Yarrowia lipolytica: one gene and its partners. The protein of the gene in region 1 binds, or shares a complex with, the protein of each later gene. Links are inferred from orthologs where the notes say so. Each region holds a gene or a part of one and is shown in the gene's direction. Other genes may lie near its edges.

The links. Proteins that work in one complex are often made in the same cells at the same time.
Region 2: YALI1_D22704g (region 1) and YALI1_E15274g share a complex: the UniProt entries of both Saccharomyces cerevisiae proteins name them as parts of the mitochondrial large ribosomal subunit. The link is inferred for Yarrowia lipolytica from reciprocal best matches to the Saccharomyces cerevisiae genes MRPL3 and MRP20.
Region 3: YALI1_D22704g (region 1) and YALI1_C25301g share a complex: the UniProt entries of both Saccharomyces cerevisiae proteins name them as parts of the mitochondrial large ribosomal subunit. The link is inferred for Yarrowia lipolytica from reciprocal best matches to the Saccharomyces cerevisiae genes MRPL3 and MRPL16.

The regions. Positions count from the first base shown.
Region 1 is NC_090773.1:2,268,059-2,272,710, forward strand, and holds YALI1_D22704g (mitochondrial 54S ribosomal protein mL44), read left to right. Parts: upstream 1-2,348; coding exon 2,349-3,542; downstream 3,543-4,652. Other genes in the region: YALI1_D22663g (uncharacterized protein), read left to right, coding at 1-290; YALI1_D22691g (uncharacterized protein), read right to left, coding at 771-1,040, 1,615-1,617. UniProt on the Saccharomyces cerevisiae protein: Component of the mitochondrial ribosome (mitoribosome), a dedicated translation machinery responsible for the synthesis of mitochondrial genome-encoded proteins, including at least some of the essential transmembrane subunits of the mitochondrial respiratory chain.
Region 2 is NC_090774.1:1,525,222-1,529,419, forward strand, and holds YALI1_E15274g (mitochondrial 54S ribosomal protein uL23m), read left to right. Parts: upstream 1-2,163; coding exon 2,164-2,952; downstream 2,953-4,198. Other genes in the region: YALI1_E15256g (uncharacterized protein), read left to right, coding at 390-1,907; YALI1_E15318g (uncharacterized protein), read right to left, coding at 3,402-4,198. UniProt on the Saccharomyces cerevisiae protein: Component of the mitochondrial ribosome (mitoribosome), a dedicated translation machinery responsible for the synthesis of mitochondrial genome-encoded proteins, including at least some of the essential transmembrane subunits of the mitochondrial respiratory chain.
Region 3 is NC_090772.1:2,528,131-2,532,531, reverse strand, and holds YALI1_C25301g (uncharacterized protein), read left to right. Parts: upstream 1-2,316; coding exon 2,317-2,369; intron 2,370-2,422; coding exon 2,423-3,155; downstream 3,156-4,401. Other genes in the region: YALI1_C25336g (uncharacterized protein), read left to right, coding at 1-706; YALI1_C25307g (uncharacterized protein), read right to left, coding at 894-1,817; YALI1_C25288g (uncharacterized protein), read left to right, coding at 3,706-4,401. UniProt on the Saccharomyces cerevisiae protein: Component of the mitochondrial ribosome (mitoribosome), a dedicated translation machinery responsible for the synthesis of mitochondrial genome-encoded proteins, including at least some of the essential transmembrane subunits of the mitochondrial respiratory chain.

The DNA.
Region 1 (4,652 bases):
TCATGCTTGGAATGGATCCCAATCCTCCTCCTCCACCGCCTCCTCCCAAGCCCCCCGTCATTCCAGAGCATACGGTGCAGGACCAAAAGGCGCTGGAACGAGACAGACAGCTGCAGGGAGGCGAAACAACGCTGATGGGCGACTGGCTGGACGCCAGGGACAAGTTTGAGACGCATGATGAGAGCCTGGCGACGATTGAGGCGAGAAAGGAGGCCGATCTGGCGTTGTTGAACAAGCGCAAGAGCAAGATCAAGCTGTATCGGTTTGAGCGGCCGAGATGGAGGATCTGAGGGGTGCCACTGCGATTGATACCACGGCCCCGTCAAGAGTGTCTGCATACCGAGGGGCGTATCATATACTAATTAATATTTATTTATACACTGCAACGAAAATCGAGCTTCCACGGTTTAATGGTGGCAAGTGGGGAACAACCGATTGGAGTATAACGCCGCCCGAACTACACCCAGTTGAACAGGCAGTACATATACTCATCTGTCGTATCGATTTCATCTGCAGCACGACGGAGTCTCGGCTGGGTCTGCATGTTCACGATACAAGGACTTGTGCTCTCAGACGCTCTTCCAGAGATATTAAACCACAGGATATCTACGCGACACAGGTTTCAAGCAGTAATTGTACGAAATACAAGTAGCCAGACACCCGAAGCATCCTGCAGCGATAGTGATTGGGTCTACAACCAACTTGCTGTGACACTACAAGTAGTGACTGCACAAGTGTCGGCATGGTTCATTCAAATCAATCTATTGTGTTTACTCAGACTCAGCAGCCTCACCGGTGCTGATCTTGCCGTGTCGCTCTCTCCACACGCCGGCAGCGGCATTCCACTTGGAAATGTCGGACTCGGAGGTGATGCCCTCTCGTCGTCGGGTGTAGGGAAGGGTGGCGGTAGAAACCCACAGGGCCAGGCCGACGGCGATGCCGGTGGCGAAAAGGCCGTTGAGCTTCCAGTTGGAGGGGTTGGCCCACCAGCCTCCGGTCATAGAAATGACGTCTTTAGGGAATGGATATCGTCCTCCGCCCTGGGTTAGAAGAGTCAAATGAGACAAAAGCGCCGTTACGGCGAGTTATGGAGTATTGAGAAACGATGATATTAGCTTGGGTCGTTGTTCGTTGCGTCTGGTTGTCGTGCTCGGGGTCCACTGCCTTGAGCGCGTCCGAGCGTTTCCACGAGCAGTGCGATGAGACTGTCATTGGAGTGAACTGAGCAGTGAAAATGACGGGTCCATGACGTTCATTCATTCATACGTGGCATCTCTGCTCACGATCTCAGACACAACTTGACATGCTGCTGCAACCATTGGATGGTCATACCCCACATTCACCCACCGTGTCTGTTCAATGACAGCTCAGATCAAGCGCCGAGGTCAGCTTCGATCTTCCAGCAAGCAGCTCGCACAGCCCTTGTCGTTATCACGCAGCCCTTATCGTTGTCGTTTCACCCAGACACATGTCATCGCATCTCATCTCATCACTGGGTCATATGTCGCTCCAAAGTCCGATTCGAACCAACAAAAAACCACCCATGTCCTCGTCGCATGCGTAGCACACGTTCTCGTCGCTTTCTCGCCCTCCAATCCTTCCGCTCGCACTCACCATTTTGATATATGTTGCAGTTAGTGTGTGGATTACCTTTCTGCAAACCTCTAGTCTTTGGCTGGTCGGTGATTGGTGGTTGGGAGCGAACTCTATTTTTATTAGTCAGCCGGGACACGGATATGGAGACATGCTCGATTCGCCATTATACCAATTTGGATAAATTAGGAAAAATGTGGATAATAAATTGACAAGAATTTTAGGTGATTGCAAAATTAATGACTAAAATATAATTTTTTTGAGATACTCGGGCTGTTTTGGGAACTATTGGGAACATACTCACAACAAGTTGAAACAAATCATAATATAATGATTAAGCTAAAACAAATCAAAATATAATGAACAAGTTGAAACAAATCAGAGTAAATATATGAACATGATCAGAAACTAATGGAGAAATCAATCAGATGATAATTAAAGTGCTAATAAAATCGATTGCATCTTTCAATTTTTTTCATAATTTCAATTTTTCACCATATAATGAAATTCCTCATGTCCCTTCTACATACAGATTACGAGCGTTGTTATATATCAATAATACCACTTTTTTTTGAAAAAAAAAGCCATATACACTAAATAACTCATTTCAAACTATTTATCACTACCCAAACTCTAACAAAGGTCGACACTCGCCCAGAAACTACCACCCTCCTCCCACACCCTAACCCTGTGCATCATGAAAATTTCCCTACAGCTGTACTCACAACTCACTTTCCACATATCACCACGACAGGATGATTCGAACCAGTCGACTTTTGCGGGTGTCTCGAGTGGCCGTGTCCCGGTCCAGACTCATCACGTGCGCCCCGAGAAGCTTCACCTCTGACCACAAACCCAAGACTCCTCCCCAGGCCCCCACCATGGACCCCACAGCTCTTCGGTACCCCAACTCTGATCTGAGTGTCAATCTTCGAGACGTGGCCAAGGGCGACTACCTCGTCCCCGGTGACTTGGCCCGACAGTCGCCTGCTCTCAAAACTCTGCATGCTCGTCTTGGTCTGCCCGAGGCTCTGCCGTTGTCTACTCTGGCCCAGTGTCTGACCTGTCCCGAGGCCGACACTGTGGGAGAGGACGGCCGAAAGCTGGCCGACAACTACGGCATGTCTGTGTTTGGCGGCAGTCTGCTCAAGTATCACGTGACGGAGAAGTTTGTGGTCCAGTACCCCCGGCTTCCTCTACCCATTCTCAACTCACTGCTGGACTCCCATCTGAGTCTGCGATCTCTGACTCGTCTGGCCGAGTCCTGGGGTGTCGAGACCGACCGACGATCTGCCTTTGAGCGACACATGTCCAACGACTCGCTCGCAAACACCCTGGGTTACCTGAGATACAAGCCCGTGGAGGACGACGTCAGCAACGCCTCCAAGGACGGTGTGTTCGACTCCTACACTCCCCGATCCGACGTGAAGAAATACAACCAGAAGCAAAAGAAAAACTCGCAGCACAACTACGACTCGCAGGTCTACGTGTTTGACTCGTCAGCTCCCGAGGGCTACGAGCGATCGGCTGCCCGGTTTGTGCAGGCTCTGGTGGCCGCCATCCACGCACACGTGTCGCGAGACGAGGCGCTTAAGTTCATCGACAACTTCATTCTGTCGCGAGCCGTCGACGTTGAGTCGCTCTTCTCCTTCAACCAGCCCCACAAGGAGATTGTGCGAGTGTGTGCACGAGAGGGACTGGAGCGACCTGAGGCCCGACTCATGGCCGAGACCGGCCGTCTGTCCAAGGCCCCCGTCTTTGTTGTTGGTGTCTTTTCCGGCAAGCACAAGCTTGGAGAAGGCCAGGGAGCGTCGCTTGCCGAGGCCAAGATCCGAGCTTCGGTCAACGCTCTCAAGGGATACTACCTGTACTCCCCCATTGAGCAGACCCGACCCCAGGAAGAGGGGTACAATGGGACTTTTATCGACAAGGGTCCCGTTGTTATTTAGTGTATATAGTAGAGCTGAGGCATGACACAAGGAGTGCCGGAGACGTCGACGTCGAATAAAATGATTCAATGAGCATGGGGAGCGGGAACAGGTATGTTTCGAGTAGACAACTGAATTCTCTGCGATCATTCAGTTTGTAGACTAGCTACATTTTCGTTACCCATTCTACGAATGTTTTGTAAAGAACTGAAGTGGTCTGGTTGGAGTGCACTCCTTACCTATTGCTTGTTGATGATGAAGCAGCATACTTGAAATATTAGTGGAAGGTTCCTGCACCGGAGTCTAGGTGATGATGTCGAGAACGTGGGGCAGAGTCGCGCAGTAGAGAGGATGGTGGAGAGCTGTATACTCGATAAAAACAAAATGGACCAAAATAAAACAGCTTTGACACACTTTTTATTTGTAGACGTCTTTTGCAGTATTCTTGAGATGTCGGTTAGAGAACAGGGAGAGATATACAATTGATGACATCTGCATCAATATAACAGCTACAATAGAGGCGAGTTGATGGTGTGAAAATTGGGGTTGCAATTGACACCAATATGCTCCAGCTCTCCAGAGCGGCCGTCTTCGGTATCGTTCCTAGCACCGTTTGGTGTACCGTATGATAAGGCCACATTCAGCACTTTGAAGATAACAATGGTAGAGATCGGTATACTGTCGACAACTTTACATTTCCAACAGGGTCGACTTTTATCGACTCTACTTTCTGTTCTTTCTAAGCTGGCAGTTTGTTTACCCCAAAGCACGTGGTTATCGCGACCACTGGAAGTCCTGTGCGAGTGCGAGTACATACTGTACACCGACAATCAGAGAATACAAAACACTGGTTCAATCAGGGTATCTTCTTCAACAGTTCAAATATGCCATGTGACATGGATCGTAGCACAGTACTGAAACCTATTGTCGACACAGCCCGCCGACACAGCCCGGCGACACAGTCCGGCGACACCGCCCAGCGACACAGTCCGAACAGGCTGGGTTTTTTCCAGACAAGAAAGGAGACATGGTCCGCCAGACCAAAGTCCAAGATTGGGTGGCTCGGCCAAATGGTGACAAGTCAGACTAGAGTTACATTACACAATTTGCGAGGTTATCCGCCGTAAAACT
Region 2 (4,198 bases), on another chromosome or scaffold:
ATCCCCATTCACTCTCAATACACCCGTCTCTAATAACCGATGGTACATTCGTAACCTACGAACCAACGACAGTGTAACCTAAGATATACCGCAGAGACAAGTCCGAGATAAGAGGACGCTTGGCAGCAAACTACGCCACAGGCAGTCGGGGAGACGCCAAAGCGCGCCATGTCGTCTGTCCTTCGCCCACACCGCCTCTCCAGAGAGTCAGCCAAGCCCCGAGCCCCTTGTTTTGCACATCCACCAACAAGCTCTAATTAAACTACCGACCTAGTAGCGCGCTAGGGATGCAAGCAAAAAATCTAGCTCCGGAGGTCTAGCCCGAGGCTGGCAGTTTATAATGTTGGGGTGGTGTCTCTGGCGCTGCAATTGATTCCACTCGACGAAAAATGGGAATCAAAGGCTACTTTAGCACTATGAGAGAGCGGTTCACGCCGCTGACGTTGGACCAGATCGGCAAAGGTGTTGTCTTCGTGGACGGGCACATCATGGCCCACCAAATCGCCAACATGGTTGATCCAGGCAGCCGTTACGACATGCGTGGCGTGGCCATGAAGTTGGAGGAGCTCTTCAACTGTTGGATCGGCCAACACAAATGGGATATTCAGCTCGTGCTGTTTGACGGCCTGGTGCCCACAGACAAAATGGACGGCAGACGCAAACGGGCCATGGAGTCCCTCCCCACGGCTCTGCATGCCCAGAGTCTCGCTCTGACCGTTCTTTGTGGAGCTCTGTGTCTCGATACGATCCAGTCCAAGTTCCCAAATGTCCCGTGCTTGGTGTCTCCAGGCGAGGCAGACCGGGATCTGGCCTGTCTGGTCTTCAACTACGCCAAACTGAACTCCAACAAGGCCGTTCACATCATCTCCAACGACTCAGGTTTCTGCGCGTTCGACTTTCCGGAAAACGTGCACGTTGTCAACACCCTGGTAGGAGGGTTGGAGAACTCGGTTCTGTATGCCCTACCAGTCTCACGAACAGTCGCCAACTGGATCGGAGTCAAACCTACCCTACTGGCATACTCTGTCATGAAACACAGTGGAAAGGGACCTTCACAAGCGAAAAAGTACGAGGAGGAAGAGGGGTACCTAGAGTTTTCACAACAGCAACAACAGCTGCTAGCCAAGGCCAGTTACTCATCTGTAGGCGAATATCTCGCCGAACCTGTCACTCGAAGAGCATACCAGATCTTTGGCCAACAGCACGACGAGTTGTTAATGCATACAGCTGCGAACGCATGGATCGAGTATGGATACGGATACGTGCTGCTACCCGTCATGTGTGAGCCCAAGGAGTTTGAGTATGCCTTTGACGCTGGACGAAGGTGGCGATCTGTGGCGTACGAGATCTGTGCCCAGAGACTGATGCAGGTGTTCCCCGAAAAGGACTTTGTGACATCTCATGTGCGTGAGTTTGTGCGGATTGGAGAAACGTTAGGAGAGATGGACGTGCCTATTACCGACCACGAGAGAGCAAGATACAACAAGACCGGTTCACATTACCAGCTGTTCCAAAAGGAGGAGCTTTTGCGAGCGGTCAAGACGTGGAAGACTTCGGATCTGATCAACGCCATTTGGATAGAAATCATGGCCACGTCTCCCAACGTCCGAAACACCAAACTTGAATTTGACGCCCATCACATGAGGGATAGGGTGGTCAAGTACTTGAAGGAAGCATGGAACGACGAGGGAGTGTTTGCTCTGCGAAGGTACTCACGAAAGGAGCGTAAGTTGATGGCCCGCAAGTCGTGCGCAATGGAAGCAACGGATCGTCGGTTCTACAACAAGCTGTTGGCCTGTTTCCAGAGCTTGCGAATGCTTCAAGCTGTGGGAGTCACGTTCCCAGTCGATGTTCATTTGTTTGATCTTGATGGAACTCGATGGATGTCTATGACCAAGTCGAAGTGACAAAACAACCGAGCCAAGTATTTATATATGTGACAATAGATGATTACAATTTTAACTTGTTGTACAAGTATCTCTGAGTAGCCGAAGTATTAGTAGATTTTTATATATGCATATATTGTAATCGAACCAACAACCACACAGCCAAACGCACTTGCCCTCACCTCCTCAAACCCTAACCGCAGTGAAAAATACTGCATGGCTCTGGGCCGACTGGGATCAAGAAAGCTTTCAAACACCCGAAACACATACACACAAAATGCGACTTTCCGGGGTGTCTCGATTCGGCGCAACGGTCGCCAAGTTACAGCGACCTACCATCACTCTGCCCACCAAGCAGGCCTCCGGCATCGACGCCAACAAGTACAAGGGCGGGCTGCCTCTGCATCGACCCTTGAACCAGGAAGAGCGAGTTGCCAAGCTGGAGCAGGGCATCGAGTCTGGCGACGCCCATTTCGCGCTGGGTAAGCGGGAGGTGTGGTTCCCTAAGGAGCAGGTTATTCTTGTGCGACCCAATGCCAAGCTGACCCCCTACCAGGCGTCCTTTCTCACTCCTCTGCACATGAACAAGATGGAACTGCGAGACTACCTGTACAACGTCTACGGTCTGCGAGCGCTCAACGTGCGGTCCGTGGTTTTCCCCGCCGCATTTGAGCGAGAAAACCCCACCCGACCCCGATACCGAAAGCGAATGATCAAGAAGATGACTATTGAGATGGAGGAGCCCTTTGTGTGGCCCGAGGACACTGACGGCTTTCTGGCCAAGATGGAGGAGTCGGCAAGAGAGACCAAGAAGCTCATGGACGAGGTCACCGGCCTTGATTCCCTTGGGTCCAGTCGAGATCGACCCTCTACTGCCTTTGGGGGAATTATGGGCCCCTACAAGAAGGCCGGATCACCTTTCGTGGCCCAGAAGGTGGCATCCAAGCTTGGCGGCTCCAAGCGACGAGAGGCCGAGGCCGAGGCTCAGCAGGAGAAGATGCGAAACATCGCCTTCTACCTGGCCAAGAACAAGCAGGCTGGCATTCCCCAGCCTAAGACAAACTAGTCTCTGTATATAGAAAGGATATGTTATGATAGCAAACACTGTAGAGAGTGAGAATGAGTATGGGAATGCAGAGAATGAATATGCTCAACATGTTATCTATTACGAGCATACTATTACCATCACGTCTATAAGGAAACATTAGATGAGTGTACACTGGGTTGTTACAGTACAACTACAGCAAAGTGTTGAACATGAGTTCATATCACAAGTACAGCAGCTAGAAGTACGTATCTTACGAAGTAATACTTGACCTGATAGATTGAGCATGTACAATCGTCGATGCTCACTTGGATGATCTGCTTAACCATAAAGGCGAAATGCGGTGTTACTGTAAACACCCAATCGTCTACAAAGGTCTCCCCCATTCATGTCCATACCTCCAATAATATTATATATACAGCTAACGCGTTCCTTTTCCTTCGCATCGCCACTGTGCGCCACAGTTTTCCTTATAAGAAACCCCGGAAAGAGTTGATCTTCTTGGATTCGCTCTTTCTAGCAGCATTCTGCCATCCTCCCCGCCCTCGAGCTCGTGGCCGAGAAGAGTCCTCATCCTGAGATGTAGAGTGCGAATGCGAAGGAGGCTGGGGCTGGGGGATGTTAGTAGCAGATGTTGCGTGGCTGCCGTGGCCTCCAAAGTTCATGCCCAAGTGCTCAACTGCAGGAGAAGGTGTCTTCGAGTTGCCTCCAATGGGCACTCCTCGGTAGTAAGCCGAGTCCGAGCCGGCTAAAGACGCTGACGACTGCTTGGTGGTTCTGTGGGAGTTCCCAGAAGACTCTCCAATGGACTCCACGTCGTAACCAAGCAGACTCTTTTGGTTAGTGTTGTTGAACAGCTCACCAGCGCCAGGAGACAGGTTCTCGGCCTCTGAAGACGCGGCGTATGTTCGGAATCGTTCGTCCAGATCTTGGTACCGCTGAGACAGCTCTTGATGACTAACTGACAGCTGATGGTACCGATTTTCAGCCTCCTGTTTGATAGTCTCAAGCATCTCGAGCACCTTGTGTGAGGGCTGAGTCTGCTTTTCAATGTTTGTCATCTGCTCTTCAAGTTCTGCGATCTCGCCTCGCAACCGTTTCTCCATTGTTTCCTTCTCGTGTTTCAGGACTCCTAAGTCAATCTTAGTTTTCTCCAGCTCAATGTGAAGATCTGAGTTGGACGATTGTGTCTCGGAGCCCCGTATGTTGTCAGATGAAGATTCGGCGGAGGCCTCGAGGCTTTTCAGCTTGTCTCTATACTCGTTAA
Region 3 (4,401 bases), on another chromosome or scaffold:
AAAGACTTGGTTTCTCAACCAGTGTGGTCTGCTTGGAGAAGATATGGATGACGATGTCATGGAAAGTGGTAAGTTTAGCACCTCCGCCATGTTTCTGATGCGAGAACTGGTGGAGATGGATAGACGACGGCTCAAGGACGTGTCTATCTACAACACCTTGCATCTGAGCGACCACAAACTGCCCGAGTTGCCTCTATGGAGAGCCAGACAGGTCATGACCCGTCCCGACTACATTCAAGTCTACGACAACCTGAACATTTTCACCATTGACTCCTTGTCACGAGTACGAGCCGACTCTGTTCCCATGATGCAGGCCTTTCACGAAATTGCAGACATGCCTGGGTTTGATGATTTTCTCGAAGAGACTGCCGACCGAGTATCTGCTATCGAGTCTCTTGGTCGAACCCGAGAGCTGGTGGCTAAGGATCTAGTTGAAGGCGGCAAATACACCGTCAAGGACGCTTTCCGAACGTTTGCCATCAAGCTGGTGCAGCCCGAGGAGGAGGAGGACAAGGCCGAGAGCTCTCTCGACCATCTGGGCAAGTCCGACTGGTGGAATCAGCGAGTGAAGAAGTTCACCGAGCAGATTGAGGAGGAGGAAGTGGCTCTCAAGGAAAAGGAAGCCAAGGCTGTTGGAATCCCTAAACATGTCGAAGATGTCGCGAAAATCCCTGGTGACGTTGAAGAAGTCGCAGACTATAAGTAGAAGTCGACTAGAATTGGCTAGTCCGTCCGTTGTGAGGGCACTTGTAAAAGTACAATTGTGTACGAATAAATTATACATGATTATCTTGTTGTAATCATTCCCCTGACCGCACCTCCATTATCCAATGAACCATTGCATACCTTTCCATTATCTATATACTCCACGCACTGTGCCACTCCCGTCAGTCTTACTCATACCACATTTTAATCAGCTCCTCAGAAACGCCACTTGGAGTGAGAACTCCCAGATCTGTGATAAGTGCAGTGATGTAATCGTGAGGCGTAAAGTCGACGACTGGCGACAGACCCTTGTCGGCATTCTGCTCCTCGGGCTCCTCAACAGTGAAGTGGAACATCTTTTTGGTGTCTGGCAGATCGGCCTGGGCCAGAGGGAAGATTCGCACAAACTTGTGACTCTCGGTGACCACGTAGAAGGGCTTATTTGCGTTCTTGGCTAGCACGGCAATCTGATATGATCCGACGTGGTTGATGACTCCTCCAGACTCCGCCACTCCCTCGGCACCACAAAACACCTTGGACACCTCGTCAATCACAGATCCGACGGCGTTGTCCACAATTAGACTCACGGGAATGCCTCTCTCCCTCAATGCCTTGGCCATTCGCTTACCCTGATCACTAGGAGCAGCCTCTGTGACAAACACTCTGAAACGCACCAAGTTCTTAGCAGCATGTTCCAGAAGGGCCAGTACCGTTCGCGAGAAAGAGTGGACCAGAATGACATCGTCATCCCGCACAAATGCTAGACCCTTTTCCGAAATGGTCTTTCGAGCAGCCTTACTTCGCTCGGCAAACAGCCTTCCGTTCTTTACCAAATGGCCCTTGCAGGCCTCCCAGTCGCCATATTCCCGGATATTTCGCAACACAAATCGCATAAACAGATCACAGCCTGCAGAAAGCGACATAGAGTTGTCCACAGACGTCTTGAGCTCCGCGCTCGCCTCCTTGAGAGTCTGAATCAGCTCGGCTGATGTGCTGGTTTCGGTCTCACTGAGCAGCTGGACCAGGGCCTCAATGGCCGCGACAGGCATGGTGATGTCGGGGTCGTCCCGCAGAAAGCGCAGATATGTCTCTTTGATGTCGAATTTGGCCATGCTGGATTACTTGTAGTGGTCGATTTGCTCTATGCTGCAATTTTTGGTTAGGTTGGGATTAATATTTTCAGAATCCTGAATCACGTGACGATATGAGATTGGCCCAGTTACCCGGCAGTTCGAACGTCGACGAATGTACTGATACGCTGAGTTAGAGAGGGGTTGGAAGGGCTTGTGGTGGTTGAGGGGTATATTAAGGTCACATGACTGTATGTTAAGCAAGTGCTCATGTTTTTTCCGGTCCCCATCCCCTGTCTGATGCCCTTGTGTGGTGTACTTGAGCAGTTGGGAGTTACTTAGCATGTTCAACTAAAGGCTAAGTACTGCATGTCCTGCTGTCGAATAAACTTCGTGCAGCTTACTCATCAGCCATCTGAACAAATACACGAGCTAATTTTTTCACAATCACCAAAATGCTGGCTCGACTGGTAAACGGACTACGGGGTGAGTAACGCTAGAAATGGGGAAGGAAGAGACTTGGAAGGCATTCAGCGAAGCCATGCAATCAGCAGATCGATTCTCAGCGACAATACGACCGTGCCAAACGACACGGTGAGAGTGAAAAATTTCGGATCGGAAGTTCACGAATGACTGCACAACTTAAGGAACCTAGGGAATAAGGAATCCCTGTCATTCCAACAGGTCTATCCGAGTCGACCACCCTCAATACCGTGCTCCTCTGACGGCCGTACTAACTCAGCTACCCGCCCTACTGTCGTGTCTCCTTTTGCTGTTCCCACTCTGGGCTCCATTCGACACAAGCACGAGTATGCACCTCGATTCAAGAACCTACGAAAGGCCCAGCGAGGCCGAATCACTGTCCGAACCGGAGGATCCACTCGAGGCTCCACGGTCGAGTTTGGCCAGTGGGGCCTGCGTCTTGTTTCTGAGGGTGTGCGGCTGTTTGACAAGCAGCTCAAGGCCGCTGACGGAGCCATTGCTCAGCTGATTCGAAAGGCCGCTCCCGGCTCTCAGCTCTACCGACGGTTTCTGCTCTCCACCCCCGTCACTCGAAAGGGTGTCAATATCCGAATGGGTAAGGGTAAGGGAGATATCGAGAACATGGCCACCCGATGGCCCACTGGAAAGGTGGTATTTGAGGTTGGAGGCCAGATGCACGACCAGGTTGTCAAGGAGGCCTTCAAGCGAGCTTCCAGGCGTCTGCCGGGCCGATGGGAGGTGATCAAGAAGGGCGATCTGCCTGTTGTTGGCTCCCAGGAGGTCCCCGAGGCCACCCCCCGAAACTACCTGCAGGAGATGTCCGAGAACCCCACCAAGCGGTTCCAGGCCCTGGAGGACTCCAAGAAGGAGGAGTTTGTCAAGTACCGACGACGATAAATGTATATAGTAACATATTTGATATTGAGAGTGTGAAATGTAGATGTGTGTAGAAGACTTGTATCAACAAACGCGCCAGTACAGTGACGAAACCTTGGTTCCAGTGAAGAGTTACGAATCGGAAGGGTGAGCAATCTCTGTTGTTTGCTAGACGTTGTAAAGTGCAAACCAAGGTGTTACTATGGGGTATATCGATATCTCAGTATATACCGGCACATACTGTACAATACTGTACTTGTGATGCCATTGCAAGCTGGATCATAGGTCGTATGACTCCTTTTTTACGACGTTGGACCTGTGTACTCGTGCGCTATATTCTCGGTACTGGATCCAAATTAGAGACCAAAGAGGTTGTTTGAGAGACATTATCTGCCAACTGAAACACGGTTTCTTCACAAACACGTACTATTCACCAGGATATATATTCTATTTCGTACTCAGCATCCTCACACTACCCAGCCAAGGTTTATGCGAGATATGCAATAACGTTCGAAAATTACGGACCTGAAAAAAACACAGGAACGCGACTTTTTTCCACCAGCAACCCACAATGACACGATCAAGGCGTCCTCGGCCCTCCTACGTGATGGAGGGCGACGACTTTGCGGGTGACGACTCGGACTCGGACTTCAACCCCGGCATTGAACCGACCGTGGAAGATGACGACATGGACGTGGATGTGAACGAGGTCAAGGCTGAGGAGGAAGATGGCAACTACGGTGACGAGATGGAGGTGGACTACGTGCCCAGCAAGTCCAGCAAATCCAAGACCAAGGCCGTCAAGCCGACTCTCAAAAACACGCCGCGAAAAATGCCTGTGAAAAAGATTCCGACGACAAAGGCGGCGGCTGCCAACAAGGAGAATGGAGAGGACCGAAAGGTGGCTCTCAAAGACCGGTTCAACCTGTTCTACGGCTTTGATGAGGCTTCGCGGGTCAAGGGTAATGCTATCCGTCAAACCTGGGGTAACGTGACCTACGCGTGGGGCAAGAATATCATGACGCCCAATGTGACGTTCGAGACGCCTCCTGACCTCAAAGTCAACGTGGCTGAGCAGTTTGGAACTGCCGAAAAGGGCGATGATCTCACCACCCTTGGTCCTTCAATGTCTCTTTTGAATAGCACCGGTGAAGAGACCACTCTGGCCCCCAAGACTAGCTCTTCCTGGAAAGCCAGTGGAGGCGATCAGGATGCACCTAACCCAGCTTCGGTAATTAACGCTGGAGCTCCTGTTTCGTCTGTCGCC